3 linked regions of the Bombyx mori genome follow. The main gene of each other region encodes a partner of the protein of the gene in region 3 in a complex. Links are inferred from orthologs where the notes say so. Each region holds a gene or a part of one and is shown on either strand. Other genes may lie near its edges.

Region 1 (10,150 bases), on a different chromosome or scaffold from region 3:
TAGTTTGAATTGTGAAAACGAGTACCAGATGATGATATTGTCGATTGGTTGATTCTATCATTGGTATGTGCATGAACCAGTCCATTCTATCTGAATACAATGCAGGAACCACCTGATATAAACAAACACATTAGATGTACCCATGTAATCCTCAGAATTTATATGAGTGATGGTGTTGTGAGTGAGGTCATTTGAGGACATCACTAGTTGCATCTAGTGATGTAATCATATCACTATCTAATCTATTCAATAGCTTGTTCTTTTATTATACATAGCTACATAGGTTATTGATCTGAGTGAGGAAGTTAAATAAATAATTTTAGGGATATCAAATAAATAAAAACAGTGTAAAATGTTATGTATTGATAATTAAAACAACATGAGCTAGAATTGTCAACACATCTGGGAACAGTTTAACAAATAATATTTTGGTAGTTTTAGATAGTTTAGAAAAACAAATAATTATCAGTTCTAATTCAAATATTTAAAAATAGTCCCTAGTTATTTATATTCAAAGAAGGCTGAAACAGTTACATTTGCACTCATAAGTATATTATTATATACTTGATCATGATTACTAATTGTATTATCAATCCAATCAATATGTTTTTCAAGCAATTAAATTTGCTCACTTTGATCGTCTTTATTCAAAAAAACAAATCCGCGCAAAGGAAGTTGTAAAATGTATAAATGATTTCCTTGTTAATTTAAATATTGGAAGAATATCAAGTCTTTTTCACTGCTATATTTACTAAAACATAGTAGTGAATATTTAGTTTATGTATATTTAGTCTATAGTTTCACTGAAAACAAAGATATCAAAGCATATGGCCCACCTGATGGTGAGTGGTTACCATTGCTAATTCACATCAGTAATGCCAGGGGCAGAGCCAAATTGCTTCCTGCCCCTGAGTATTTTCTATAAATCTTGTCAACCAACCTTCCAACATTATAAGGCATTTGAGAAACATCAAAGAGAGGAGTTAATTACAAAGCCAGATGGTACATGCCAGAAAATATCTCCGGAAATGCACTGTGGATAAACACAGTGGTTCTACACAGAGTGGACAAAGGCTACTGCAATGGCGGGCAGTGCATGCAATTTATTCATTACAGAATTTACAACATATCATGTGCATATTACCGTATTAGGCTACAACGCTTTAAGTTCATTTTTGTTACTGTACTGATAAACATTTTTTTAAATGAAGTTTATGTTATTGTACCCTGTTAAAATATAATTGAACTAGCAACTTTATATCAATATATTTTAATATGCTTTATAAAATGCTAAACTACGAGAATTAACGCTTTAGCAAAAAGTTTAAAGCTTAATAAAGAAACATGATAAAAATTGGTTTTATTTAACTGCATGTTAATTCAAAATAGATTTATTAAAATAGACGAATGAAAGGATATAGTAAGCACCTTAAACGTAAAGTTGCTATTTCTCTCATTTATTTCACTGAACACAGGGAATTTCTTTTGTTATAGTTCAAGTTTCATCATGGTTTTAATAAGAATACATATTGTAGTTTAGGTCTGTTGACTTATTACAAACTGTATTGGCTGGGTAAGATTGTCATATTAATTTTCTTGGTGAGCTGAGGTTCTTGCACAAGTATAATTTGATAAAATTTCCACATTAACAATGTTTTTTTTTTAAATATGCCCTTCGTAGGTAATTAATTGACTTTAACAACAACAAAAAAGTAATTTGATAAATCTCAAAATATATTTAAAAATCTATCATTAAACTAAAAGGTAAGCAAGGAGTGTTTCTCGAAAAAGTATTTAATAATAGTAGTAGTGTCAAATCAAGTTAACAATGTTGTTTAAAATTATAGGGAAAAATTTCATGCACAGACCCCAAAAAGCCAAAATGAAGAATTTTTGTTGTTGTTGTAAGAGTGCGTGGAGTATAATGATTTATACATACGTGTCTCCGTCCTCGTCCTGTTGGAACAGTAGATACAGCGGAGGAATGTCTGCGGTACTCTGTGCAGGACTCTGAACACTAACCATTACTTGTGACAGCCTATCCGTAATGGATTTCACTCCACTTTCACCTTCACTATTCTTTTCATCATAATCGATCATCCCTGAATCGATATCATTACTATCACACGGTCCTGATATTTCACCAGTAACAAAACCGGAATCAGCGTACTCGTCCTCGCGCAATTTCGTTTCGGAATCTTTTTTGGCACTCATTTTTGGTTCAATTCTATACGACCGTTTTCAATTTTAACAATAATCTTATCGTTTCACTATTGTTTATATTACAATTGTTTATGAACACGGAACCATGTTTTGACACAAAAATGTCGCGTAATAAACAGCCTCACTACAACGAATGCGCGTGCACAATGCGTGATTAAGATTCAATGCTGGAGTATTTGTGACTACATAAGGCTGCCATTTTTTGTTTTTATTAGCATTCGTCATTACGTCACTTTCTAGAGACATGTTCGGAAACACTGTGTCATGTAAATTGTCTACAATCTACATCACTGCGTGATGATTTAATCTAAAATATTTTGTTTGAGTTGATAGATATCCTTAGCAAAAACAAAGTAAACATAGACATAGACAGTGACAATAGGTGTCTTGACTAGTAAAAAAATATCTGTTGGTTCGTGAAGTAAAACAATATAACAAAACTGTGATTTCGATAAAAATAAACTAAAACATCCACGTTTTTTTTTTTTTTTTTTATTGCTTAGATGGATGGACGAGCTCACAGCCCACCTGATGGTGAGTGGTTACCGTCACCCATGGACTTCAGCAATGCCAGGGGCAGAGCCAAGCCGCTGCCTACCGCTTAATACTCTCCACAAGCCTAGTTTGAAGAAGGACATCTCATAGCGCTCGGGAAACACCGTGAAGGGAAGCTCATTCCATAGGCGGATGGTACGTGGCAAAAAAGACCTCTGGAAACGCACTGTGGATGACTGCAGTGGCTCCAGGTAGTATGTATGAACTCTACTCCGGTGGCGGGTGGTGCGATGGTAAAAACGAGATGCCGGTATCATCTCGAACAATTCCTCAGAGCACTCCCCATGGAACATACGGTACAAAATACAGAGGGAACCGAAGTCCCTCCGTAGACCCAGATGCTCCGAAAAATTCTCTGAGAGTCTACCTTAGGGGGGTGCAGAGATGAACCTTGATAGGTGTAGTGTGATAGTGATATTACTTAAACATATGTGTATATATAACATACATAATATTTATAGATACAAAAACTCGTACTTAAATAAATACATTTACATAAATATATATGTATAAAATATATATAAATAAATATTATCAATTAGATGACTCTGATAACTCTCTAGAAACAGTTCTCGAACCCTCATCTTAAACGCTTCACGTGTAGTGGCCGACCTTAGAGAACCGAGTCAGAACTATATGGAGGACAGCGAAGAAGAACATTGTGAGATGAACGAAGATTTCGGCTGTGGTCAGACCCTAAGTATTGAAAGGAAGTAGTTAAATAAGCAGGTGGATTTGGGGAATGCAACAAAGAGTAAAGAGTACCGAGAGCACGCAAGCTACGGCGTTGTCGAATGGGGAGCCATTTAAGTTGGGAGCGATGAGAAGATACGTGATCGTATTTCCGAAGATCATAAATAAATCGAATGCAGTTATTGAGAAGCCGGTTAAGTTTATTGAGTAGATATTATGCATTCAGGTCAAAGTAGCACACATCACCATAGTCGATCAAGGGGAAAACCAAAGTTTGAACGAGTATTGTCTTGGTCTCGGGCGGAAGGAAATACTTCAGGTGGTAAAGCATACGGAGTCTTTACGACGTTATCACGTAAAACTCTCGTCCATAAGTAAACTTTATAGACAGCTGTGGACCCAATAGAAAGAACTTAAAATTTCCATTTGGTGTTTATTCTTTCATTTTACAATTATCGACTCTTCGGATCAACAAAACTAGAAGTTGTAATTGTTTGGTATTGTGGCCACAAAAAGCAGACGAACATACGTTACTCATTGAACAATTCCATTGCGTATTATGTGGGAGGGGGAGGGGGGGGGGGGGTTAGGGCGGGGGATATTATCTTGTTGAACACCCAGTAAAACGAAGTCACTTTTTGATTCCTGATTTAATCAACAATATGATAACTTAATTCACTTTAACATTTATCCAACCTTAACCAGTACGTAAAACAGTCACTTAATCACACAATGTAACAAGGATATAGTAAGTGCACCGAGCAAACGCAGTCGGCCGGGGCACCTGGCTTATCTATGAGTCACTCCTGTTGCACGTGCTGTTTTACGAGTGGAGTGACACGGCCGGCGCACCTGGCTTGTGTATGACTCACTCCTATTGCACGTGCTGTATAACAGAAGTAACGTTAACGCCGTCATAGATATGTTACTGCTTATTATTTCTGTGTGTTAACACAACGTAACGACATTGGGAATGTCGTTGGTGTAGAGAGCGTAGAGGATCGGTGACAGGATACCTCCTTGGGGAACCCCAGCTGTGGCTGGGCGCATCCACGATTTAGCGCTCTTGACCGCGACAAAAAGAGTTCTGCCCTCCAGGTACGACCCCAGTAGTCGCACGTAGGCGTGCTGGAAGTCCGTGTTCTGCACCAACTTGCAGATAAGCCCCGCACGCCAGACACGGTTGAAGGCCTTCTCGAAATCGAGAAATACTGCCGCCATGTACTGGCGTGCGTTGGACCGTCAAAAGGTGCATAACGCAGACCAATTGCAGCGTTGTTGAGTGACTGCTACGTATCCAGAATTGCTCGGGTCTGAGAAGGATGTGCGGAGACACTCTTCTCACCAGCAGCCGCTCGAACAACTTGCCCACATACGACAACAGGGTAATCGGACGATAATTGGAGGGCTGTCTTCTGTCCTTCTAAATTCCCGGGAAATATCCTGTAGACAGAATGTAATTAAACAGCCGTGTCTTAAAAGACACGACTGATTCTAGAAAGTGGAAAAATGCAAGGGTGAGAATACCGTCCTCACACAATGCCTTGCGCCTCTTTATCCGCTTGATAAGGAGGCGCAATTCAGCGGGAATGATGAAATCATCATGTCCCAGAGGTGGCACCGGGAGGTTAGTTTGCACGTCGAACACTTTGTTGAGTTCGACGAGTACGGTTATCAGGGTCCCTAAGTCTGCTCCTAATGTTAAAGTTGAAAGCGTCTTTGCAAGAGTAATTGGATCTGATGGTCGACCCGATAAGGAGAGTGAGATTATTATTGGCTGTATTGCTACTAAGTGATTATCTGTAAAAAGTTACTTGTATGACTTAGCTCCCACTTCTAGAAAATTTTAATATCTTAAGATTAGGTTTTGGTATTATAGATTTAAAGATCAAGGCTTCTGTGATTTTCGAACTCATCCAAAAATGATGCGTATCCGATCATAAAATGTCAAATTTACTATCTGTCACAGTCTTGAGCTGTCACTCATCAAATTAATAACAACTTTCGCGCCAATGCCAAAAATGTTTTTATCTAAATTATTAAAGTATTTTGTTTGTTATCTCTCTCATTGTTAAGTAAATAAGTAACACACAATGTTCGCAGAAAAAGTTATAGAACTAATTAAAGAAGTAGATAGAAATCCTGACACAATAGATCAATATAATGTAAGTTGGATGTGCCCATCTAGGTATGGGATTGGAATTAGAATAAACTTGTTATATCTAATGAAAGCTTTAAGTTACTATTTAATACCGAAACCAAGATTTTATCCGGTTGTCATCTATTCTGTTTGTCTATGCATATGCACTATAAAGTCAGAAATCCATTTAGAAGTGACAAGTATATTAAATTATTGTTATAGCACCGCCTATTATTATTTTTGTGTCTTTTAATCTTATAAAGTACATAGTATTTCACATGTTACAGGATGAAAAAATACGCCAAATAATAGAAGAAATGCATTTATTATTTAAATTGAACATGAATGATGCGTAAGTCACTGGTTTTCTACTAATATAACTGCAAGTAGTTATTGTTCAATATGCAAGATTTGCTATGATCACTTCTATTCTGTAACCTCCTATTCTGTTTCATGTGATGCAAAAGTGCTCAGGTAACCTTGTAACTCCAGGAAGGTCTATTTTTGTTTTTTTTTGTCAATCTATTGCTACTAACCTCGAGGGGTTATGCTAGCTTCATGGGATTTGAGGTAGCCCTGAGATCTCTCACCCAATTATGCAAAAAAAAGTTTTATGACTTTTTTGTTTTATAACTCTTCACATTCAAGCAGTTTGGATAACTTGCCCAGCAGATTTGATAGCTTTACTGGTTGTGCTTGAGTAGCACAGATATCTCACCCAGCAGATTTGTTACAGCACTACGGTTATGTATCTGCTTAAAAATACTTTAGTGGACAGGCTTGGCTTCAATTTCTAACCAAATCTTAGCTCAGCTTATTGAGTTTTTTTACAGTGTAGTTGTTTTTTAATAATAGTACTAATTATTGTTTTTGGTATATAAAAAAAATAGAGAAATGTGTGTTTGTTTGTTGATCTTAAAGTACTTTTAAAATGTTTCTCTAATTTGGCCAAAATCGGTCTGAGTTGCTGGTCCGCACAAACGAAAACGTCATTTAGTGCAAAGGGGTTAATATTTTCATGCACTTGAGTCTCATGTGGTGTTGTAATAAGGTTACCTGCTATTAGTCCATTTTAATTTAAATTTCAAAAATATGTAGTTCAATTGCTCATCAAGTTCATTTATAGAAGAAGAAGATAACAACAAACTGTTTTATGATTACCGCTTGTATTAATTGAATTACTATTTTTAGTAATGCTACAACAGAAAACAGATCATTGTGGACCACAGTTCAAGTAAGACATTCTGCCCTTGAACGCAATAAAAGGTGTATATTAGCCTATCTCTACAACAGAATGAAAAAAATTAAGACATTACGTTGGGAATTTGGTGCAGTACTACCTCCAGATATCAGAGAATTGCTTTCTGATGATGAATATCAATGGTTTTCAAAATACTCTGGAAATCTTGCTTTGTATATGAGATCTTTAGGCCAAGATATAGGATACAGTGGCATAGACTTGACTGAAAATTTAAAGCCCCCTAAATCATTGTTCATCGAAGTGCTTTGTGTTGTGGATTATGGTAAATTAGAACTTGAAGATGGTGATGTGGTTATGCTTAAGAAGAATAGCAGACATTATCTTCCTACTTCGGAATGTCAGACTTTAATACGACAGGGTATTCTGAAACAAATAATGTGAATTTATTTTATCAATAGTGAATTTTTGACCATTTTATGTTTTAAATAATATTGTGAAAAATAATGTTTGATGTCTGTATGGAAATAAATTTTATGAGAAGATTATTTTTACCATAAGCTTAGTGATTTGACTTGATTAGATTTGCACCTCCTAATAAAGCAAGTGTGTGTCCATTTTTTTTACTATCCCTGATGGGTGAAAGAGCAGTCATAGTGGCCTAAAGAATATAATGCTTGCTGTAGTCAAATCAAATGATGCAACAATCAATATCATCATCAGCCCCGAGGTCTCCTAATATCAGACTTCAGACTTAGAACTTTTGTTTAGGTGTGTGGCAGCATTTGCGTTTTTGATATTTACGTGCCCTGTTAATGAGCTGGCATTGAAAAAAACTATTTTCTCAAAAAAGATACAGCGCAGTTTTTTTTTTTTTTTTTTCCTACCTATGATGGTAGCCTTGAGGGCTCAAACCTGATGACGTTGCTAACACGAACCCTAGCAAGAGCCGTGCTTCGCAGAATCTACCACCGGATCGGAAACGCGACCCACTGAGAAGATACGGCGAGAAACTCAGTGGGCTGTGTCTGGGAGTTAATTTACTCGTCGAGCCCTTCGACGGGTTCGACGAGAACGGTGACCGGTGCTTGAAGTACCTAAAAGCACCGTTAGTGGATCGGGACGATCCGAGATGACGTGTTTTGGGCGACGTCGACTGCTTTCCATTCTGTCCGCAGGATCGGGAATGTAGTTACTGGCGGCCACGATGAGAGGGTTCTCGTGTCGTGCCGCTTTATCGAAGTGGCGCATCGACGCCGACTGAAGATACTTACTGATGGACTCTAAGTCCAGGTCGTCATGGAGGTCGACGTTCCTGACGAACCACGGGGCTCCGACGGCTATCCTGCAAAAACGGGATTGAATAATTTGGAAGGATTTAAAGTGAGTGCGGGCCGCGTGAGCGAACACTACACTTGCATAGGTCATGACGGGGCGTATGCAAGTTTTGTAGAGTGTCACCTTATTTCTAAGGGACATTTTACTTCGCCTGCATATCATCGGGTAGAACAGCAAAGATATTAATTTATCTAGCATAGAGGCAGGCACTAAAAACATCCACAAAACTACAACTAAAACCAGTCTGCATTTTCTCTGTAAACTTCGCTTTAACTAGGTAATATTACAATATTGCATGATCTATTTATCAACCAAACACTTAACCAGTCTCGTAAAGTTAAATAATGGATAAAGTTGCAGCATTAGAAGTTCAGAACAGAAAATGTGCAATGAATTATTAATATAATAGGTATATTTATATTTATTACTAGCTGACCCGGCAGACTTCGTAATGTCTCAATCGATAAATAAAATACCTAAGCTTTTATATAAAATAAACTTAAAACAAACAAAATGAATCCGTCCGACGGGGGACACAGAGGAAAAACAAAATTGTTATTTTTATTTAATACCGAGCATTTTTATATTTATCTACCTTTTAAACCTTTACATTAGCCAAAGCGGTCCAGCCGTTCTCGAGTTTTAGCATAGACCTATATAGTAACTTCAGTGAGTTTTAGCGAGACTAACGAACAGTAATTCATTTTTATATACAGTCGACTCTCGTGAATTCGAAACTTGAGGGACTCATAAAATATTACGAATTATCGAATGTTTGAAATATCAAATGGTTCGAAATTTGTGAGAGAAAATAAATAAAACTTCGAATTACTAAGTATTGATCAATAATTATTTATTAACTGCTATTCTATAACAATGAATAGTAGTTCTTTTCCGTACTCCAGCAGTTTGAGCAGAATTAATTTTCTCCTTGTGCTTTATTATGGTTGAGAGAGTACTCAGAGGAATCTTAAATTCTTTTGCAACATCACTTTTCTTCTCACCTTCCTCTACTTTTTCGATTAACTTCTTCTTTTCAGCAATCGTCAAACATTTATACTTTCTAGGACTCATAATTAACACAAACTTTTAATCTGCATACCAACGAAAGACTAACCGTAACTGAAACATAACTAAACAAACCAATTCGTGGGGAAGTGTGAGTTTAACTAATCATAACAATAACAAAGGCTCGTGTATGTTGATACCGCTGTAGTAGGAAACCTATAGGTCTATGGTTGATACAAGTTTGAAGTTGTCGCAAAATGTACTTACATTACAATCATTCGACCTCTTTCTCTCTGCAACTTTGAATTGTCCAGTGTTGGACGCCGATGAGTTCGAATTAACGCGTCGTTTTATTATATAGCAATGATTTTTCGTTCGAATTACCAAGTGCATAAAAATGTATTGATTTAGTTCGAAATATAAAGAGATTTTGTAGGGAACTCGTGATAACTTTAAATTATAGAGAGGTTCTAATTATCGCAGGTTGGAATTAACGAGAGTCGACTGTAGGTATATAGATAACACACGTAATTGCGACGTGATAGTAGCAAATAGTTTTGTAAATTTTGTTTTCTTGTAATGTTTTCGGTTTTCGCGCGTAGACATCATTATTATTACTTAAACTAATATAATTAATTTCACACTTTATTTTATTTTCGAATTCCGTTCTGAATATTTTACAATATAATACAAACCGTTAAAGAGTTATATGTAGGTATGTTTAATTATTTCTTACCCCTTAGATAATTTAGTCATATACGTTTTATACCGTAGTACAGAAATTTGACTGGTAGTAGAAATGTTAGGTACGGCGTGATATTAACCTTGATGGACTTGTATAACCACCCAAAACATAAACAGTGGGTTTTTCAGCTCGAATATCTAACTACGGGTCACAAAGAAACACAGGGATTCCCAAACAACAGCAGATTAAAAAAAAATATACTTATATTTTACAGTCCAACTCCATCTGTCATAGGCAGACTTTCCATGAA
Region 2 (10,508 bases), on a different chromosome or scaffold from region 3:
GAATTCACGTAGTGAAGTTTAAGAGCTATGATTTATTGTTTAATATCCTTCTTGTCGTGACTTCGTCTACTCGTATTCACAAATTGAAAAACAACGAATTATTAATGGCTGTGCCAGTCTTATGAATGTGCTCAACATTTGCTTGTAGGTCATGGAAGCAGGCCAGATCGTCGAATGTGGCCACCCTTACGAGCTACTTAAGAACGATAACGGGCATTTCTCGAAAATGGTTAAACAATTGGGTCCCGCCTCAGAGCAGAGCCTTAGAGAACTTGCGCGGGACGCACACGCACAACACATACAATACGTCGACGCGGACGACCAGGATAAAACGAAATAACTGAACGTTTTATTACGTAACAGAAACGTTAATATTATGTAACACACGTACTCGCCTATTTGTCATAATCGTCATTACAAATTGATAGGTACTTCAGTCCAAAAAGTGGCAGGCGGCATTCCGTTGTGGTGTCTATGAGCTCAAATAATTACTTAACAACAGGCGAGTCGAAAGCCGGTTTTATGTACGATGTACTTAATGTGTTACTTAAATTTTGATGGTACTTAATTCGTTGGTACAAGATTACTTTCAAATTAATACATTGCCATAGCTGGGCAGCCAAGTTCGAGATACACTTGGTTTTAAAAGATTACAAGTATCCATAGACTCCACAGTTGAATACCCTCGACGAGAAACTACCGCCCGCCTTAAAACGTCAGATCGAAGCTTTAATTGAGGCAACATTCACAGGTTCCCACTGTTTGCTGTAGGTTTTTTTAATGTCGTATTTACTTGATAATAGCATTGGCGATGTTTATATCTAATTAAGAATATTATAAAGTCCCGGTAACACTAACATAGATAAGTAAGAAATTATATCCACCACAACTGTTAAATTACTATTTTAAACGGTTGTCACCAAAGTACACGTCGTGTCTCTAAATTAATAGTGCATGGATATCTTTAGTCCAATTCACATTTACAGGGTCATAACGAACTATTTGTTTAAATTATTTATCTACATATACCTATTTTCACAAAGAGTTTATTTCTGTTACTTTTAAATAATGAGGAAGCTTTAAATGTTACCAATAATAATCATAGTACTTATTTAGTTATACATATATGTATTTAAATTATTTTATTTACAGTCCATATTTAATACTCTATTTATAAGCAATCTTTTAAATTTGTATCTTTGCTTTATGTTTGTACAATGTACATTTTACTATGGCAACATACAAAAAAGTAACTTATTACACAATATGTTGATTATAATAAGGTTTTTATCGAATATATGTAGATTAATGTTTAAATTTTAAGATCTGCTAGTAAGGTGCTGTTCATTATAACCTAACCTAGCCTAGCTAGCCAATAAAATGTATCCAAATTCCAGATATATTTTTGTAAGGAAAAATAGTAAGCTGTCAGATTTAACTTAAATATAAATAAGTGCTTTATGAAAAAATATTGTGATATAATTACAAATAAATTTACATTGTAGTTTTTTAATGTTTCAACTGTCTATTCTTACATAAGTAGTAATTGTAACTTTGAAATATATTTAAATTTTGTGAGATTATAATACTTCAGTACTTATTGTGTACTTACCTTGTATATTTATTATGTTAATTTACAATAAACTGAAAGTAAAAATTAATTTTGTTTAATTTATTAAACTAGCTACAAATGTTTTAAAAATAAATGAAATACAAAGTGTTTACAGAAAATTTACTATCATAACAATGTGACTTTCCCGTTCTTTAAAAGATCTGCAATTGGTTTGTATTGCAAGATGTGCTGCGAGCCCTCTGAAAGAAATAAGTAGTATTAAAGACATTATACTGCATTTTATTTATTCTTAGTCTGAGCCCACACTTTTAGCAAGATTTTTACTTAAATAAAAAAATTTAATTGTAAACAATACAGTAAAACTTGTGGCTGTTATTAACAAGTTAACATTTAGTATAGTGAAAATCATGAACAGGTAATCTTCCACAGAGCAGTAATTATTTCTTGTGAAGCCAGTAGTCCAAATGTTGTTTGAAACTTTTATATATCTTAGATTTTTCTTGTATTTTTTTTTGCATGGTTTCAGTTTTTGCTCAATTTTTGTCCTATGATAGCTACTGCTATTTCAGATTTAAAATTCTATGACATTCCCTAGTTTTCTGAGGAAATGCATAAACTTAGTATTTATATAGATAGCATTACTGCAATTACAAACCTACGAAATTAATAAATTTGACTTTACTGGTGTAAGTATATGGTTGGGCTACATACCTACAATAAAATTTAGACTTTAAATTGAAATGTTAAGGTAATTACAAGCATTTTTACATTACAGCTTTATCATTTAACATCTTACTTACACTTTCACTAGTGGTACGGTGTCTTGTGAGCCTGCATGATGTGTACCACCACCCTGCCTATTTCTGCCATGAAGCAGTAATGCGTTTTGGTTTAAGAGTTGGGGCAGCCATTAACTGAGTCATAAAACGGAGACTTAGAACTCTTGCCTCAAGGTTTTAATTAAAAAAAATAATAATTTTAATTATAGCACAACTTTGCACTTTAGATTAGTTTAAAAGTATAAGATTTTAACTCCTATGGTAAATATCATTCACTGTGTTTGATTTTTTTTTATTTCTGAGATTGCTACATAATGTATGTTCAGAAGTGTTGTATGTGTCAGACATACACAATGTTAAATGTTCACCAAAATCTATAAATACTATAAAAAGTGAATACCTCCTGAGATATGAGGTCTAAGTCTCCATTGTCTAGTATGGGGACTGTCCCCATTCTTCAAACTTCATGACTGCTTTATGGCAGAGACTAATTAATTGGTGACACATTCCCATATGGCCTACCACCAATAATTATGGGATATTATTTTTATTTTGGCAAGTTTATTGTTTCCATAGTGTTATTTCTTTTTTGTGGATTAATCAAACAGAATTAGATTCAATTTAAGACATATATAATCAAATCATTCAATATACCATAATATTATTATTTAAGTCATGATAACTTCAATGATATAGGTGATATCCTGTGGTACAATAGTCAAGGTCATTAAACCAACAAGGGTATTGCTCTATCTATCAAAGTATAACAAAAGAAAACCTATAATGTGTTTCAGTTGTGAGAAAATCAATAACAAACCTTCTAAGTCAATTTCTTCATCTTCACCAGTCAAGTCTTCTAATACAACCCCATTAATGGTTTCATTGGCTTTAAGGAATACATGCGTTTGTAAATTAGGATGTTCTGCCATTTTGTTCATTTCAAAGACTTGCATATTACCAGGCATTTTATTTAATACCACATTTTTCATATGATTTTCCATGTTCAAAACATATTCTTGAGCATATTTATATTCTGATGGTGTTAGGTAATTAGTATCAGTTTCTATTCTTTGTCTTTCTTGGTTTAGTATTGGAATGCAATATTTTTCAATCTTATTCAGTCTAGTTTTAAGATAATTACAAATAATAAATTTAATTCTGCTAATCTCCATTTTGTGTATAGAAGTTCTCAAATCAGTTTTTGAAAGTTTATTTATGTTTCTTTCCATGTGTTGTATTTGACCTAACATACATTCTACCATGTCATTTTGATGAGGGAGTATTTCTGGGGACAATCTTTCATTTTGCCAAGCACTTTGTAGTGTTTTTAAAACAGTCTCAGCTGTTACTTCTTCTTCATCATCACTGAACTGCAACTCTTCGGTTGACTCCATATTCTTCTAAATTATATATACCCACAGAATTCTAGTGCAACTTTAGATTGTCACTGAATGATATTATTCTAGCTTTCACGACTCGAATTTGAGTTCTGGTGTTTTTTAGGTTCTAAAGAGCTTTTTTTACCAATTCATTATAAATTTAAAGAGTATATAATCGCATTCATGTTTCACTACATTACAATCATAGTTTTTTTTTCTTTTATCTTTTTCTTTTATTAAAATTTTCTGTATTTTTGTCTTGCTTTCTGTACTAAACAAATTGTTACTTTATGACATACCTCAATTGTCATTAATTTTTTTTTTCTTCTGAATAGCACGGGATTTTATTTCTACTACCTTTATTGAAATAATAAGTTTATGGTAAAATAATGTAATTTTTTTTCTCACAGATTTTTTTGCTTACTATTTGTTTAAAACTTTGTTGGTTTGAACTAGAGATGGCGTTAACGGTTGAATTTATTTATCTGTTAACTGGTAATTGATAAAAAAAATTACCGATATTTTTATTGGTTGAAAATACCGGTAAATCTTTTCGTTGAAAAATTAATTTTGCTAATGTTAAACTTGAATGGTACTAGCACTTTTCGAAATGATCCCATATTTCTGCATTGCGTTTCGGCATTTTAAATTAGATATACAATTTAAAAATCCACAACAACAAAGTAAGCAAAGTCTCAAACACACAAAAACAAAGTCAAAACACACAAACACAAAGTACAAATCTCTTAAAATACAAAAACACAACTTTACCAAAATAATAGAAAAGATGCACTGAGCCACCAAAATGTCAAGTACCAAACAAAATATTACGTTTAAAAAATCAACCAATCACGTCATCTTCGCGTTCGGTAAAAATATCGTTTCATTTCAATTTTTTAACGAAAAAAATTATCATTAACTGTAAAATACACCAACTTAAATATTGTGCTTTATTTTGAGGGGTATAGAGCATACAATGAAATCATAAAATTCAATATTTTTTACATGATAAGTTGAAGACATCTGCAAGGCGAAAATGAATCTTACGTGTTGAAATAAAGTTGAAACTTGCATAAATATAATTTCCAATAATTGCCTATGCCACTACACGCAGTGTGTTTGGTAAACGGTATTTTTAACCGTTTTGGGTAATTTTATTTATCGAATAGAAGTGTTAATTTTTTTTACCGGTAAATTTATTGGTTATTGGTTATATTAGCCACCTCTAGTTTGAACCAATGTTTTATCTATTTCTATCATAAGTAATACTACGAAGAGTGAGTGAGCAGCTATGAGTCTCGATGATATTTAATATCAAGTTCGATTTCTACAAATGATAATGTTCCTGTATGTTAAGTATGTTTCTCCACTGTGTTCTTGAACAAAGTTTAGTAGTGAAGGAATAACATCGAACGCTGTAATAAAATTAGTATAAGCCGCCATACCATCTTGTTTATTTCTTGTGCAAACCAATCATCATCCTGGTTTGAAGGGTTGAATGGTTAATATTTTTAAATATTTTTTTATTGCTTCATGTTGTGGAAGTCTCAGTAGTAATGGGTGCTCGAGCCATCCTAGTAGGCTTACAGCAAGCCTTATCTTACTAGTAAAATTAGGGATGAAGAGCAAGAAAACGAAAAAAGTCGATATTCAGAAGAGAAAAGCCAGTGCTGACACTATGAAAGAGTGCGTCGCCTCCCACTTAAAACTACATATTATTTTCAAAACTCGTCTGAATATAGCTTTCAGAAATACTTTGCTATAGAGTTCATCCTAGAATTATTTCTAGAAATGAGCTGTGGATGGAACAATGAACTCTACTTCGGACATTACTACTGAAAGTTGTTGTACATGTGCTTGGTACAAGCACACTGACCATCCCGTAAATACATTTACATTATTCATTCTAAATTTTACTTAAAATAGAGCCGTGGGCCGCGGGACACACCTAGTTTGTTTTAAACAATTAATTGCAGTTTTTGTATCGAATAATGTACGTACGTACTAGCGAAGACATTTAATCTTGTTAGCCACATAAACCTGCTTCTTTGAAGTCGCATAACTACATTACCTCAGTAATACAGAGCTGTACTTACAAATATCTGTACTTACAAATAGCTGTACTTTGCAAATATCAACCGTACTATAACGGCGGCACTTAAACATAGTTTATTTTATAAATAACTAAATTTATTACTAAATTTCAAAATTCTGCTGACCGTTTCCTTGAAATTAGTCCACATTAAGCACTTTGCATCTTAAAATTTAGTTTTTTCGTTCCAAAATTTACGTATGTGCTCCATTGCTGCTCTTTTTGGAATCACCCAGATCTTTTGACACAAGTAGACTTTAATCAAAAATGGCTTAGAATCGATTCTTAATATGCAGCTAAACGAGCTAACTTGGACCCATGCATCCCTACCCATCCGTTTTGGTGGTTTAGGGACTCGCAAAATTTCTCGTGTCGCTTTACCAGCCTTCCTATCTTTTGTCCATAGTTCAGCAAATCTCATAAGTAAAAAACTTTGAGATTGCTGGCTTGGAAGAAGCTAGAAACGCTTTCTTAATTGGATGCCCACGTCAAAATTTTCCAGTTTCTCTAAATTCACAGAAGAGCTGGGACGACATAAACTGCAAATTGACATATGACAATCTTTTGAGCTGTAGTACAGGTTCGGCGCGTGCTAGGCTTTTGGCTGTGGGTGCGCACGAGGCCGGCTACTGGATTCACGCGTACCCTTCGTCAAATACAGGAACATTTCTTGAGCCTGACACGCTCCGAATCGCAACCTGTGTACGGCTCGGGGTTCCGGTCTGTGTTCCTCATAAATGTCCCTGTGGCAGTGATGTCGACAAGCTAGGACATCACGGACTGTCTTGCCAAAAAAGTGCAGACCGCTTCTCGCGACATGCCGCACTTAATTATATCATACGCCGGTCCCTTGCCACTGCCAACGTGCCAAGTCTACTTGAGCCGACTGGTATTGCAAGAGACGACGGCAAGAGACCGGACGATATGAGTTTGATTCCATGGAAGATGGGCCGGGTGTTGGTATGGGATGCAACCTGTTCAGACACGCTGGCCCCTTCCCATCTACATGGAACCTACAATAAAGCTGGTGCGGCTTGTGAAGCGGCTCAAAAAACCAAAGCATGCAAATACAGGGTCTAGGCTCGGAATATGTTTTTGTTCCATTCGGTCTCGAGACCCTTGGTCCGTGGGATCCTAGCGCTATAAAGCTTTTTAAGGAAATAGCAAAAAGGTTAGTCGACACCACAGGAGACCGAAGAGCTGGCAGCTACCTTGGACAAAGAATTAGTCTAGCTATTCAAAGGGGGAATAGCTAGACTAATTCGCTGTCAGTATCTTCGGAACCTTGCCTAAAGGGACTCCTTTTAATAATATATTTTAGTTATAAAATTATTATTTTTATTCTTTATTATATAATATTATTTTAATATTATTAATTTAGTATTTAATTTTTAATTTAATATATAACATATATTTTATTATATTAACATATATTTTATGTCTAAGACGGATAATTTTCCACATTAGAATGTAGGTAAAGTAATTATTTCAATTTGGAATAATAAAATCTACTTTCGTTTTTTTTATTCCATTAGCATGAAATATTAATTATTTAATTTAAACATATTATGTTAAACGGTTAAACCGAAAATACAACTTTCTTATATCATACATTATTATTATCATTTTCAATTGTAAATGCAAACCTGTAAAATTCACCCTCAAGATAATAATATATTCACCTTCTAAGACATCGTATATCTTATTATGAATATTGATTTTCCTGCAACGCAACATTAATCCTCGTTAGGTATATAAAACAGAGCCGTACTAGTAAAGACGAGTAGCCTCCACGGCCTCGGCAATCCTGCCACACTTCGCACCACGAGATCGGTTTACTGTAATTAATCTGAAGTTCATTTAATGATTTCCTTCAGTATTTTATACCCATTTCAATACATAATTAAAGTTCACATTCCTTCTTTGTGAGCAAAAAATGACAAGTTATTTTTATTTTAATTGAATTGGAAGTAATTGAATTTAGATTACTATTTCCTAAAATTTCACTTTAATCATTCAGGTTACGTAGTCAACTTTAATAGTGCGAAAATGATTTCCTTGGATCCTGGACCAGGAATGGCAGCTCTCCAGGCGTGGGGTGGTCAAGTGGCTGCCTACGGAGCCGCTAACCAAACCGTTGTCGATAAAGTACCACCTGATATGCTACACATGGTCGATCCTCATTGGTTTGTTGTTAATTCATATTTTATTTTAAATATCATTCAATGTTGTATTGCAATAACAATTCGTAAACTAAAGTGATCATTTTTCAACGACTTCATTTCAGGTACCAATTTCCACCTATGAACCCACTATGGCACGCCCTATTAGGCTTCACAATCGGAGTTCTTGGCTTCATATCAATTTCGGGTAACGGAATGGTCATTTACATTTTCATGTCAACAAAGGTTTGTGAAAATAAATAACTTTTAAAATGCCGAAACTTTACGTCGGTAGATCGATTTTATCTCATGAAATGTACTATTTTCCAGAGCCTTAAAACACCATCAAACCTTCTCGTAGTGAATTTGGCATTCTCAGACTTCCTCATGATGTGTGCTATGTCTCCAGCGATGGTCGTTAACTGTTACAATGAAACTTGGGTTTTCGGTTAGTAAAAATGTTGCGAATAGAGTTTTTGTTTTTAAATAAATTTATTAAACATCATCTCCTTTTAGGACCTTTTGCATGCGAGCTATATGCTTGTGCCGGTTCATTATTTGGGTGTGCCTCGATTTGGACGATGACAATGATTGCTTTCGACCGCTATAATGTTATTGTGAAGGGCATTGCGGCAAAACCAATGACGAACAACGGCGCTCTTCTACGCATTCTTGGAATTTGGGCATTTTCGCTAGCTTGGACTCTTGCACCCTTCTTTGGCTGGAATAGGTGCGTAAACTGATCTTGAGGTACTTCAGAATTAATTGCAATTCAATAGACCACAGAAGTGCCCATGAAATACAAAATATATAATATTTTTTTTCTTCTATTGCTTATATGGGTGGACGAGCTCACAGCACACCTGGTGTTAAGTGGTTACTGGAGCCCATAGACATATACGATGTAAATGCGCCACCCACCTTGAGATATAATCTCTAAGGCCTCAAGTATAGTTACAGCGGTTGCCCCGCCCTTCAAACCGAAACGCATTACTGATAATATGTATATATCGCTCAGCTCAAAAGACTTTTTTAAATTTGCCTTGAGCCTGCTGCCTCAATGCGTAAAATGCATGTGCAACAAAAATATTTTGTTTTTACAGATATGTGCCTGAAGGAAACATGACTGCATGCGGTACTGACTACCTGTCTAAAGATTGGTTTAGCCGCAGTTACATTCTTATTTACTCCGTTTTTGTTTACTTCGCCCCACTTCTTCTCATCATATATTCGTACTTCTTCATTGTGCAGGTTTGTTTCACTATTCATCAGTATATTATTTATTGTCTGAGATAGGCAATTAATATTACTGTCCGTCAGATGTTATATGGTTAGCTGAGCCTGTAAACACCTTAGCGTGAAAACTGACGTCTAGTCTTAAACCTGGTAAATCAAATCATCAAATGAATAGAACGTCTTCTACTGAAACAACGGCTACTTTCGAAACTTTCTAATGACTACTTCGCTGAGAAAAGATGCAGCGCAATGGTAACCCCCGTGCAGGACCGTAAAATAGCATGTTCTGGCGCTTTGATAATTGTACAATCAATTAAACGTCCAGACAAAAATAATTTAACATTACAGGCCGTAGCTGCCCACGAAAAAGCAATGAGGGAACAAGCGAAAAAAATGAACGTCGCCTCTCTCAGATCATCTGAAGCAGCCAACACCAGCGCTGAATGCAAACTCGCCAAGGTACTGTAATTACACGACACAGTGTAGGTGCTTTGTAGTCACACATAAAACTTAAACAACAACAAACATTTAACGGCCGTTTTGTGTAGTGGTAAGTGACATACTCACTACACAAGGGGGTCGCGGGTTCGAATCCAGCCAAGGGAAGATATTTGTATGATAAATATAAAATGTCTTTTCCAGGGTTATGGATGTATATTATATTATATAGTAATATGTATGTGTATAATAAAAATCTTACATTTATTTCCATTATCTGGTACTTGTAACACAAGTTCTTTACGAACTTAGCACGGGACCAGTTAACGTGGCGTGATTGTTAGTAAATATATATTTATAATATATATATACTGTCAAAAATTCGTATATTATAATGACTTAAAAAATTTCAGGTGGCATTGATGACAATTTCCTTGTGGTTCATGGCTTGGACACCTTATTTGGTTATAAACTACACAGGGGTGTTTGAAAGCGCCCCGATCAGTCCTCTGGCCACCATTTGGGGATCGCTCTTTGCCAAAGCTAACGCTGTGTATAATCCGATTGTTTATGGCATCAGGTTTGTTTTTGGATCTCTTTTGAAATGAATTAAATAATAATGAAAAACATAAACATGTTAATGATTACATTGGTATATTTTCCAAAATGAAACATTAAACTATATTTCCATCATATATATTGATTTGATCATTAAACGTGTGCTATTCTTACAGTCATCCCAAATACCAAGCAGCGTTGTATGCAAGGTTCCCTTCATTACAATGCCAATCAGCACCTCCGGACGATGGCGGCTCCGTGGCTTCGGGTGCCACAGCTGTCTCGGAGGAG
Region 3 (10,337 bases):
TACAAAACAATAATGATCAATGAATAGGTTTTATTAGAATAGGTTACACGGGCATTATTTTAAATTCATTTATACACATTGAACACAGACGCGTTTTGTACATAGGGATCGTCAAAAAAGAAATATTAGCGAGAAAAATAACTGGTGCTAAGACGTCATGTAGGTGCCAACAACCTGCCTAATTCTGCCACGAAGCAGTAATGGGTTCGGAGTTGAAGGTTGGAGCAGTCTTCGTACTACAGAATTGAGATTTAGAACTTATTTTTCAAGGTAGCGACATTTACATTCTTTATGTCCAGGTGGGCTGTGAGCCGGTTACCATCTAAGCAATTTACAAGTCCTATAGCATCGAAAACAATAAAGTAATCTTGTCAAACTACTCGTGACCGGGAAATATTCTGTTCCACAAACACAATTATATCCCAACCTGATGCATTAAATTCCTTAAATCATTAACATGTCTCTTCATATCGTTTTGCACAATTTTAGGCCATCCCTTTTGATTCTCTGGATTACAAAGCATAGGCCCTATTACTTCATCGGCCAACACGCTCAGATCCATCAGAACGTTACCTGACATTTCACCTATAGTTACTGCCTGAAAAGTCAGAAACGAAAATTCATCATCATCCTCAGTAGTAGTATAGGCTGAATAAAGTAATTAAATCCCAATTTCATCGGATTTTGTGATGTTCACATTAACCCAACTGACTGAAGCTACAATTTTCTTGCTATATATGTATGTCGGAATTTCCTCAAGAATATTGTCTCCAACCATGAAAACCTTGTTACAGTGCTCAGGATCACTATAAGGTAGTCAAAAAGAAAAAGTACCCGCAAATACACACTACGGGTCTATTTACGGTGGAAATTTACTCGTACTCGCTTTTTGTAGAGCTTGTGCGGAACTAGATATGTCCGGGTAAGATTTTAATTGAACACAACTGAGGTTCCGTCATAATCACGACACTTCATTATAATAATAATAATAATACAGGCCTAGTTCCGGTCAACACTCTCGCTTGTTTCAAAACCGTTCAAGGCACGGAATAGATAACCTTGTGTATCTATTCCGTGGTTCAAGGTAACCATAGACCTTTAAAGGTAACGTACTAGGTTAAAACAATCCTGGTGAGAGCTCACTAAATAATATTTTAATAGTGTAAATTGTCGCGCACATTTAAAACAATTCGTAGCCATAAATAATAAATAAATAAGTACCTTACGAAAATTGGCTTGTGTTATTTTATCGTCAACATTTCTTAGGAAATAAACCATCTTTCCCCTGCTTATAGGTGGAAAACTTGTCGAACATGTTAGCATGCCAGCCGTGTTCATTCGAAAGACTATTATGTCATATTTTGGCATATCAAAATATCTAAATAGAATATGCTGAAATTAAACAAACAATTTATTGCATAGAGTGGTGAATGAACCTGGTGTTAAGTGCTCAAGTAATCAGGTTATACAATTTTCTGAATTGCATTTTCATCAAAATGCGTTAGTAATTAAATTATCTAATAAACATATAAGAGCTTATTAAACCCACTCTTTCATCTCCAGTGATGAACTTAGCCCACTTGTCTGCCTTTTGCTTTAATGTCTTCAGTAGGTATTCACTCATAAACTCCAGACGAGTATCGACATCTTCTTTCTAAAATGAGCAACCAAAATAAAGGTTACGTGCAAAAAAATCGTTTTCATTTTATTTTATTTAAACCTTATTTTGTTGATTTTCAAAATTAACATACGTAAATCATTTAATCTATTTATAGTAATATCCATAGTTTAACCAGCCCATTCTTAATTAAAAATTAAATAAACGAGTGATCTCTTGTTGTTTCTATTTGTTGTGAAAAAATAATTATTGTAGGCTAATCTAATTTTGTATTTCCAAATATCCATAAAGTTCTTAAAAATAACCTGTTACTCTCTTTTAATTCATTTATTTCACTATAATTTCAGGCGCTTCAAATACTCCACAGTAGAAATGTGTAATGTTAAAATGACAATGAAGCTGTAGGAGTTGAACAAGAGACAGCATACTGTGCTAGATTAGCCCGTGACTGCACTATCTAAGGTTAAATCGCAAATCGTTCCAGTCATTGGAACATCTTTGCTGAAAAAAATCCTATAAATTTGGCTTTGGGTAGCCCATTGGGGAAAAAAACGCATACGTGCAACATAATATGCTTATACGTTTTTATTCTTATGGTATACAGGCCCTTATGATATTGCAAAATAGGCTTAATTTACTACTTTTTGTCAGTTCAGTGTCTATTGAATATTTATCGCCAATGTCGACAAAGGCAAAATAATTATAAAAATATCTCCTCCTATTTAATTAAAAATAACTTCTATTTTCACTTACATCTCCCATGACTAAATTTGACTCATAAATTAACTAGATAACATTCGTTATACTTTCATTTTGCGTAATTAAATAAGAGATATTTGCATACAACTCAAAACAATCGATCGATATTTAATCAACAAATTCGTAACCATAGCAACCCCGCCGTAATTTAAATTTTACAAACAGTTGAGGTTTTAAAATAGTAGCGATGAAATGTTAAAAATGATCACCTCCTTTAATTTTAAAGAGAAATAAACAAATAAAATAAAAATATTAGGTATAATGATTTTATTAAATTGAAATTGAGCCTTCGAACTCAAGCTCAATTAATTAAATTGTTCTGGTGTTTTGTTACTCAAGTGCAGTGCCAACATCCACATTGTGATGTCAACATGCTCCAGTAAGGTCTCAATTGCATAGTGGCTGTCCCAATCCAAACGGGAAGGCATGAATCACTTTTTTTTCTACCTACGGTGGTATCGTTAGAGGGTTATGCCAGCGTCACTGAACTAGTAGGTGAGCTCACGGGGGTCTAACCTGAGGACGTTACTAACAATAACCCAACAAGAGCAGTACTTCGCAGAATCAACCAACGGAGCGGAAACGCAACCGACTGAAAAGGAAAACCGGCGAGAAACTCAGTGAGCTGTGTCTGTGGGTTAATTTACTTACCGAACCCTTCGTCGCACGCGACGGTTTCGATGACCGGTGCTCGAGGTACCTAAAAGCACCTACTCAGGAGGATCCAAAATGACGTGCTTAAGGCGACGTCGACTGTTTCGGTCCGCAAGATCGGGTATGTAGTTACCAGCGGCCACGGCAAGAGGGTTTTCGTGTCGAGCCGCTTTCTCAAAATGACGCACCGATTCTGACTGTATACACCTACTGATGGAGTCTAACTCCATATCGTCGTGAAGATCCACGTTCCTCATGAACCACGGTGCTCCAACGGCTATCCTGCAAAAACAGAATTGGATGATTTGAAGGGGCTTCAAAGTAATTCGAGCCGCGTGAGCGAACACTACACTTGCACAGTTCATGACTGGACGTATGCAAATTTTGTATAATGTCATCTTATTACGAAAGGACAATTTACTTTGCTTGCAAATCATCGGATAGACCTGCACAAATGCGGCAAAGAAACAAAGGCACTGGATGTAGCTTCTCGGGATCTTCCAAAAAGTCTCAATAAATAACCACTATTTTACTGAGACAATATTTCATCCCATATCATCTCATCTCATTTCATTTTATTTCGTTTTCATTTCATTTCATGCTATGTTTCTTAATAATCAACTTCACTTCATTTCATAATATCATTTAACTTAAAAAAAAGTTATCATTTATATTAACATAAGACTTGACCTAAAGGTCTTAGTAACCAGGTCATAAAATCCCTTAAAAAAAAAAGTTTCGCGCCAATTAAATGTGTTTGGGAAAGGTAAACTTGTCAGTGACGATAAAATTAGTTTTAAATTTAAATTAAATAACATATAACGGGTTAGTTAGGTTGTGATTTAGTAACATGGAAGGTTTTGATGATCCTGGTGTATTTTTCTCTGATAATTTTGGTGTAGAAGAAAACGAATCTCAAGATCATGTTAATTTACAAGCAGTCAAAAAGAAATTCAAAGAATTCATGAGACAGTTTCATACTGGAAACTTCAATTACAAATACAGGTAAAAAATCGTTTCTTAACCAGTACCTAGCATAGGATTTCAAACTAAACTTCATTCCTTGATACAAATTGTAGAGATGCCCTCAAACGCAACTATAACCTAAACCAATATTGGGTCGAGATAAATATTGAAGATTTGTCTAGTTTTGATGACGTTCTTGCTGAAAAATTATACAAGAAACCAACTGAACATTTGCCTATACTAGAAGAAGCTGCTAAAGAGGTATTAAGACAAGTTGTTGATACATAATATTATGGTATAACTAATTATTTATTACTCCTTCAATAAAACTGTGGATAGTTTGACAATGCACACCCACTTAAAGAGACTTGTAACATTAAATTGTTTTGGACCAAATTATTATATAGTAAAACTTGAATACAGTGTATATGAGCTGTTAAAATCCTTACATAAAAAATTTAAAGGTATTACTAAACAAAACTATCTTTAAACTAGATAAGGAGTAAATAGGCTGAGTTGACTAGTTTTTTTTGAAGTCTAAACATCATACACGAGAATGCCACCATCCACCTGGAAATAAAGCTATAGTCATTATCATACTATTTTCAATCACACTTAAGATAAGTGTAACAACATTCTAAATTTAACCTACATAAGAAAGAGACTGTTTTGAAGTCGTTGTGACCTAAAAGATAAGACGTCCGGTGCATTCGTGTTGAAGCGATGCACCGGTGTTCGAATCCTGCAGGCGGGTACCAATTTTTCTAATGAAATACGTACTCAACAAATGTTCACGATTGACTTCCACAGTGAAGGAATAACATCGTGTAATAAAAGTGAAACCCGCAAAATTATAATTTGCCTAATTACTGGTGGTAGGACCTGTTGTGAGTCCGCGCGGGTAGGTACCACCGCCCTGCCTATTTCTGCCGTGAAGCAGTAATGCGTTTCGGTTTGAAGGGTGGGGCAGCCGTTGTAACTATACTGAGACCTAACAACTTATATCTCAAGGTGTGTGGCGCATTTACGTTGTAGATGTCTATGGGCTCCAGTAACCACTTAACATCAGGTGGGCTGTGAGCTCGTCCATCCATCTAAGCAATAAAAAAAAAAAAAAACTTATTTTTTTTATAATCTGTTAACCTCTGCTTGTTTTGATATGCAGCACCTAAAGGTTGCAATCAACTAATGTACATTTTCCAGTTAGCTGATGAGTTGACTGCACCGAGACCAGAAGGTGAGGAGAAAGTTGAGGATATTCAAGTGCTTTTGTCATCAGATGCACATTCATCAAATTTGAGGGAGCTTAAAGTAAGTTAATATTTATCTAGTTATAAAATTTAAAAATAGTAAACAGATTCAAATTTAATTAACATTTCGTTATGAGCTTGTCTATACATTTAGGTTAGTAAAATAAATGTTGATTATATGACAAAATACAAAATGAAAAATTTTGTTTAGTCAGAAACTGTATCAAGACTAGTGAAGATTCCTGGTATTGTAATATCAGCATCCGGTATTAAAGCAAAAGCCACAAAAATATCCATACAATGTCGCTCATGCCGCAATGTTATTCCCAATCTTCCTGTGAAGCCAGGTCTGGAAGGATATGTCATGCCAAGAAAATGCAATACGTAAGTTAATTTCATTAAAGTATCCCAATTTTAAAAATAGTATGTTCTTTGGGACCACTAAATTTGAACCTAAAGTAAATATTCTCTATTACTGAGTCATACCAGTTTTGATTTTAAGCCACTAATCTTATGTTTTATTATATGAAGAAAAAGGAGAATCTATGGAAGAAAGTTTCTCAATTACTATACCCTGGTTATATCTTGAGACTGCTCTAGATAATATATTCCCTAAACTCATTCGTGATTTATCTTCATTTTTGTTCTTTCATTTACACATTTCATGTTTCAATTTTCAGAGAACAATCTGGACGTCCTAAATGTCCTTTAGATCCATATTTCATTATTCCCGACAAATGCAAATGTATCGATTATCAGGTAATTGTAGTATTAAGATGTCATTATGTAAATTACATTACAATACTTCTATTTATAACTGTCAGAAATGTTTTGAAATGCATCATATTAAAAGTATTAATGGTTTAGTTTAGTGTGCACATGTGAATATCTTAGAAATAATAAGAGATATAAAAACAGTGATTTTCAAATTAATTTACAGGTGTTGAAACTTCAAGAAGCACCAGAAAGTATTCCACAAGGAGAAATGCCAAGGCATTTGACTGTATACTGTGATCGTACATTATGCGAACGTGTTGCACCAGGCGCACGAGTCACGGTTTTGGGGATTTATTCTATAAAAAAGATAGCAAAAGTAGGGGTTAGTACTGAATATGACTATCATTTAAGAATGACAGTAATAATAATTATGCCAATGATTTTATCAAAACTTCGAGCCTGCGAATTATTGTAGTTCGTGATTTGACATTTACAGCGCGAGGGTCGCGACAAAGGCTCCGTAGGCGTCCGGTCATCGTACCTACGAGCCGTAGGGCTCACCGCAGAGGAAGGTGTCACTAGCGGCCTGAGACCCTTTACTGCAGAAGAAGAAGAGCAATTCAGAAGACTCGCTGCCTCTCCAGACATTTATGAAAGGATCGGAAAGTCCATTGCTCCAAGTGTTTTTGGTGCTGTTGATATGAAGAAAGCTATCGCTTGTCTGCTTTTTGGAGGTAACAAATTACAACAAAACAATGAATAGGTTGTATTGGAAAAACTCTTGCAAACGAAAGATGGATGTAATGATTTCATTAATGCAACAAATATTGTTTGCATGCAATGTAACACGAATACAATGTATCAATAATAAATTTCTATAGAAAGAGTGGCGTTCTAGAGGTTGTGCTATCATATACTTTGGCTCTCATTCTGGAGTTATTAAAAAGGCAAAAAAAAAATATTTGCCTTTGTTACTTAAAAGTAGGATAGTACCTCATTACCCTTTCATTCTTAAGAGTGATTTCACAACCCGTACAATTAAGAGTGGCTTAAATGTTTGTAGAGTATTTTTATATTTCTGTTTTTTTAAATGCACCCTTAGATCATATGTTCTTCATTACTAGTTACTCCATGTCTACTTACAGGATCTAGAAAACGCCTACCGGATGGCCTGACTCGTAGAGGAGATATAAATATACTTTTACTTGGAGACCCTGGTACTGCCAAATCTCAATTGCTAAAATTTGTGGAGAAGGTTGCCCCGATTGGCGTTTATACCTCAGGGAAAGGTTCGAGTGCAGCAGGTCTCACCGCTTCAGTCATTAGAGATCCTGGAAGCGTAAGAAATCCTAGTAATTTAATCAGAATGCCCAAACACATTCATTCTGTTTAACCTGACAAGAACTGAACAACCAACAATCCCAATTCAACAATCAATAATTCCCCAACAATCGCTAATTATCAACTTTTTAAATTATCAAATGACTACTTTGCTATTACTCATTCTTACATACTGTTACTACATACATCTTGCTCATTTCAACTCTAAAATAATTTTGCATTCTAATGTAAATTAGACGTTATTTCTATTGGATTTATTATTGAGGTTATGCATTTTTATAAATTACTACAGTATCTTTTTTCTTTTATCATTAGCGTAACTTCGTAATGGAGGGAGGGGCTATGGTTTTGGCTGATGGTGGTGTTGTTTGTATAGACGAATTTGATAAGATGAGAGAAGATGATCGCGTCGCCATACACGAGGCAATGGAACAACAAACTATTTCTATTGCTAAGGTGAGTTCATATTACCCTCTTATCCTAACTAACAATTGTTTATTGATCATAATAAAAAAAGCAGATGCAACTCAACACTTGCAACAGAACTCAAACTTCTAGAATTACTTTTCGTCCTTATAACCAGTTTTGCTCATTGCTCACAAAAAGAATTTCAACCTGTTTCATTATTTCGGTACATTTTTATTTATTTATTTATTGCTTAGGTGTATGGACAAGCTCACAGCCCACCTGATGTTAAGTGGTTACTGGAGCCCATAGAAATCTACAACGTAAATGCGCCACACACCTTGAGATATAAGTTCTAAGGTCTCCGTATAGTCACAAAGGCTGCCCCACCCTTCAGACCGAAACGCATTACTGCTTCACGGCAGAAATAGGCGGGGCGGTGGTACCTACCCGTGCGGACTCACAAGAGGTCCTACCACCAGAAAAATATAAATACAAAATTATACTATATTGCTTTATTTCCAGGCGGGTATCACCACTACATTAAATTCTCGTTGTTCTGTCCTGGCGGCCGCCAACTCTGTATTCGGACGATGGGACGATACTAAAGCTGATGATAACATTGATTTCATGCCAACAATTTTATCCAGATTCGACATGATTTTTATAGTCAAAGATGAACATGATCAGAACAGAGATATAGTGAGTATAGCCTATATCAGTTATTTCAGAAGCATTAGACCATTAATAATGCCATAGAAAATACATACTAGCACGCGCTTTTAGTAAAGAGACAGAACAATCTTGTCCTTGCCCTCCTCAATCTGAACAAAAAATGGTGTGTACGCTGGTAACGAAGTAAAATTGTTGTGACGTTATATAATTACTACTAGCTATTACCCATGTCTTCGCTCGCGTGTTCAAACATTAATGTCGTTGTAGTTACCCGCGGGAACGAGATGTTTTTACATGATAAAAGGTAGCCTATGTCACTCGCCTAGCCTAATACTATCACATTAAAAAAAAAACATTATTCCTCTGCTTCGTTTCTACGTGATAGAAAGACGTTTGGCTTTCTTTTACACTTTCACTTTTGAAAATCTAAATGTGATTTATAAACTCACACATGTATGTCTTTTTTAAATACACCCTTGGTGTCTTAATTTTTTTTTAATTTGTGTTACTCTCTTTAGCTCCGCCTTCGTGGAGTCTAAACATTTAGCTCTCTTTTTGTCTACGTAACATCTTTCTACTTCAAATTATCGTCCACCTTCCACGTCCATGACTAAGAATTTTACTTTTAAAAAATTGTGTAACATCGATGCACGTGCACAGCAACTTCATCTCGCGTTTAAAGTACACTGTTCCCTGTACTCACCGAAAAACATATTACAAAAAGAAACTAGTACGTAGGTATTAATAATATATTATTAAATTATAGAACTTTAATTTAATTTATTTAAAATTATACACGTATAGCAATATTGACGATCAAGTCTTTTTAATATAAGGACCGAGTCACAGCGGAATGGCAGCGGCCGACGGCTGTGTCGCAACCTTTTCAAACTTTTCAAGCGATACTTTTAAGTGTATAGATAAAGTTTAAAATTATTTTACACTGAATGTGATCGCCGCAGCGCTGCCATTCCGTTGTGACTCGGCCCTAATACTCATGCTTAACGGCCCTCGGCAGACGCTCGCGAAGCACATAATCAGCGTGCACATGGGCGGAGAGAGCAGCGAGCGTGCGGCGGCGGCGGGCGAGCTGCCGCTGACGACGCTGCGTCGGTACAGCGCGTACTGCCGCGCGCGCTGCGGGCCCCGCCTGGCGCCGCCCGCCGCCGCCCGCCTGCAGGCGCGCTACGTGCTCATGCGGACCGGCGCGCTGCAACACGAGCGACAAGCCGACAAGCGTCTCTCCATACCCATCACCGTTAGGTATCTTTCATCCTACATTTAACACCAGAATTTATTAATACTAGTGGTCCCCTATTTTTTTTAATTTTGATTCGAGCAGCCCTTGATACCACAGTGCACGATGCTCTGCACTCAGCTGCAGATAGGAACAAATGGCGGTGCATTATAAAAAACAAACTGTTTCAAGGCCATGACCACAACCCTCAGTAATGAGGAAACCGACGCAAGGAAGATGAGTGGTCCCCCGGTAGTCGAAATTCGTCTATAATTAATTAAAATTATAAATACACTATTACGATTCATCATAATAAGATTAATAATTTTTGTTTTTTATGTTTAATTTATGTTTAACGGTATTATTTATTTATTGTATTTATGTATTTTCTTTAATAGTGTATTGTTAATAGTACACCGCAACATACATGCTGTATCTTTATCTGTCCAGAATTTCGGGTAATTAAACGGCTGTCTGGAAGAGATCGCTTTTAGCGATAAGACCGCCTATTGTACAAACGTATCTGCTTGTTAACTATTTTCTGATGTTGTGTTTTGGTGTGGTATGTAATAGTTTTGACAATTGAGAGAGAGAGAGAGAGAGAGACTCCCTCTCTCAATTGTCAAAGACTATTATTATACTTCTATAATCACAGATTTCGCCAAAACTACACTTCAGATAAATGTAAATAAAGACAAACAATATTTAATCTATT

The links.
Region 1: DNA replication licensing factor Mcm5 (region 3) and DNA replication complex GINS protein PSF1 share a complex: the UniProt entries of both Homo sapiens proteins name them as parts of the CMG helicase complex. The link is inferred for Bombyx mori from reciprocal best matches to the Homo sapiens genes MCM5 and GINS1.
Region 2: DNA replication licensing factor Mcm5 (region 3) and DNA replication complex GINS protein SLD5 share a complex: the UniProt entries of both Homo sapiens proteins name them as parts of the CMG helicase complex. The link is inferred for Bombyx mori from reciprocal best matches to the Homo sapiens genes MCM5 and GINS4.

What each region holds. Positions count from the first base shown.
Region 1 is NC_085118.1:17,158,774-17,168,923, reverse strand, and holds DNA replication complex GINS protein PSF1, read left to right. Parts: upstream 1-5,434; 5' UTR 5,435-5,564; coding exon 5,565-5,636; intron 5,637-5,898; coding exon 5,899-5,963; intron 5,964-6,802; coding exon 6,803-7,253; 3' UTR 7,254-7,369; downstream 7,370-10,150. Other genes in the region: cact (cactus), read right to left, coding at 1,940-2,214. UniProt on the Homo sapiens protein: Required for correct functioning of the GINS complex, a complex that plays an essential role in the initiation of DNA replication, and progression of DNA replication forks.
Region 2 is NC_085121.1:9,241,247-9,251,754, reverse strand, and holds DNA replication complex GINS protein SLD5, read right to left. Parts: upstream 4,944-10,508; 5' UTR 3,747-4,943; coding exon 3,170-3,746; intron 2,488-3,169; coding exon of another isoform or gene 2,465-2,487; exon of another isoform or gene 1,813-2,464; coding exon 1,739-1,812; 3' UTR 1,719-1,738; downstream 1-1,718. Other genes in the region: ATP-binding cassette sub-family C member 4, read left to right, coding at 149-340; opsin-1, read left to right, coding at 5,081-5,087, 7,844-8,009, 8,111-8,231, 8,316-8,433, 8,502-8,715, 9,089-9,236, 9,570-9,680, 10,073-10,239 and 1 more. UniProt on the Homo sapiens protein: Required for correct functioning of the GINS complex, a complex that plays an essential role in the initiation of DNA replication, and progression of DNA replication forks.
Region 3 is NC_085131.1:8,495,541-8,505,877, reverse strand, and holds the start of DNA replication licensing factor Mcm5, read left to right. Parts: upstream 1-3,772; 5' UTR 3,773-3,881; coding exon 3,882-4,036; intron 4,037-4,110; coding exon 4,111-4,258; intron 4,259-4,271; exon of another isoform or gene 4,272-4,567; intron 4,568-5,200; coding exon 5,201-5,308; intron 5,309-5,458; coding exon 5,459-5,631; intron 5,632-5,927; coding exon 5,928-6,006; intron 6,007-6,187; coding exon 6,188-6,346; intron 6,347-6,460; coding exon 6,461-6,698; intron 6,699-7,109; coding exon 7,110-7,303; intron 7,304-7,620; coding exon 7,621-7,761; intron 7,762-8,235; coding exon 8,236-8,412; intron 8,413-8,610; exon of another isoform or gene 8,611-8,782; intron 8,783-9,403; coding exon 9,404-9,648; intron 9,649-10,337. Other genes in the region: dynein beta chain, ciliary, read right to left, coding at 428-598, 1,222-1,392, 1,550-1,654, 2,372-2,380. UniProt on the Homo sapiens protein: Acts as a component of the MCM2-7 complex (MCM complex) which is the replicative helicase essential for 'once per cell cycle' DNA replication initiation and elongation in eukaryotic cells.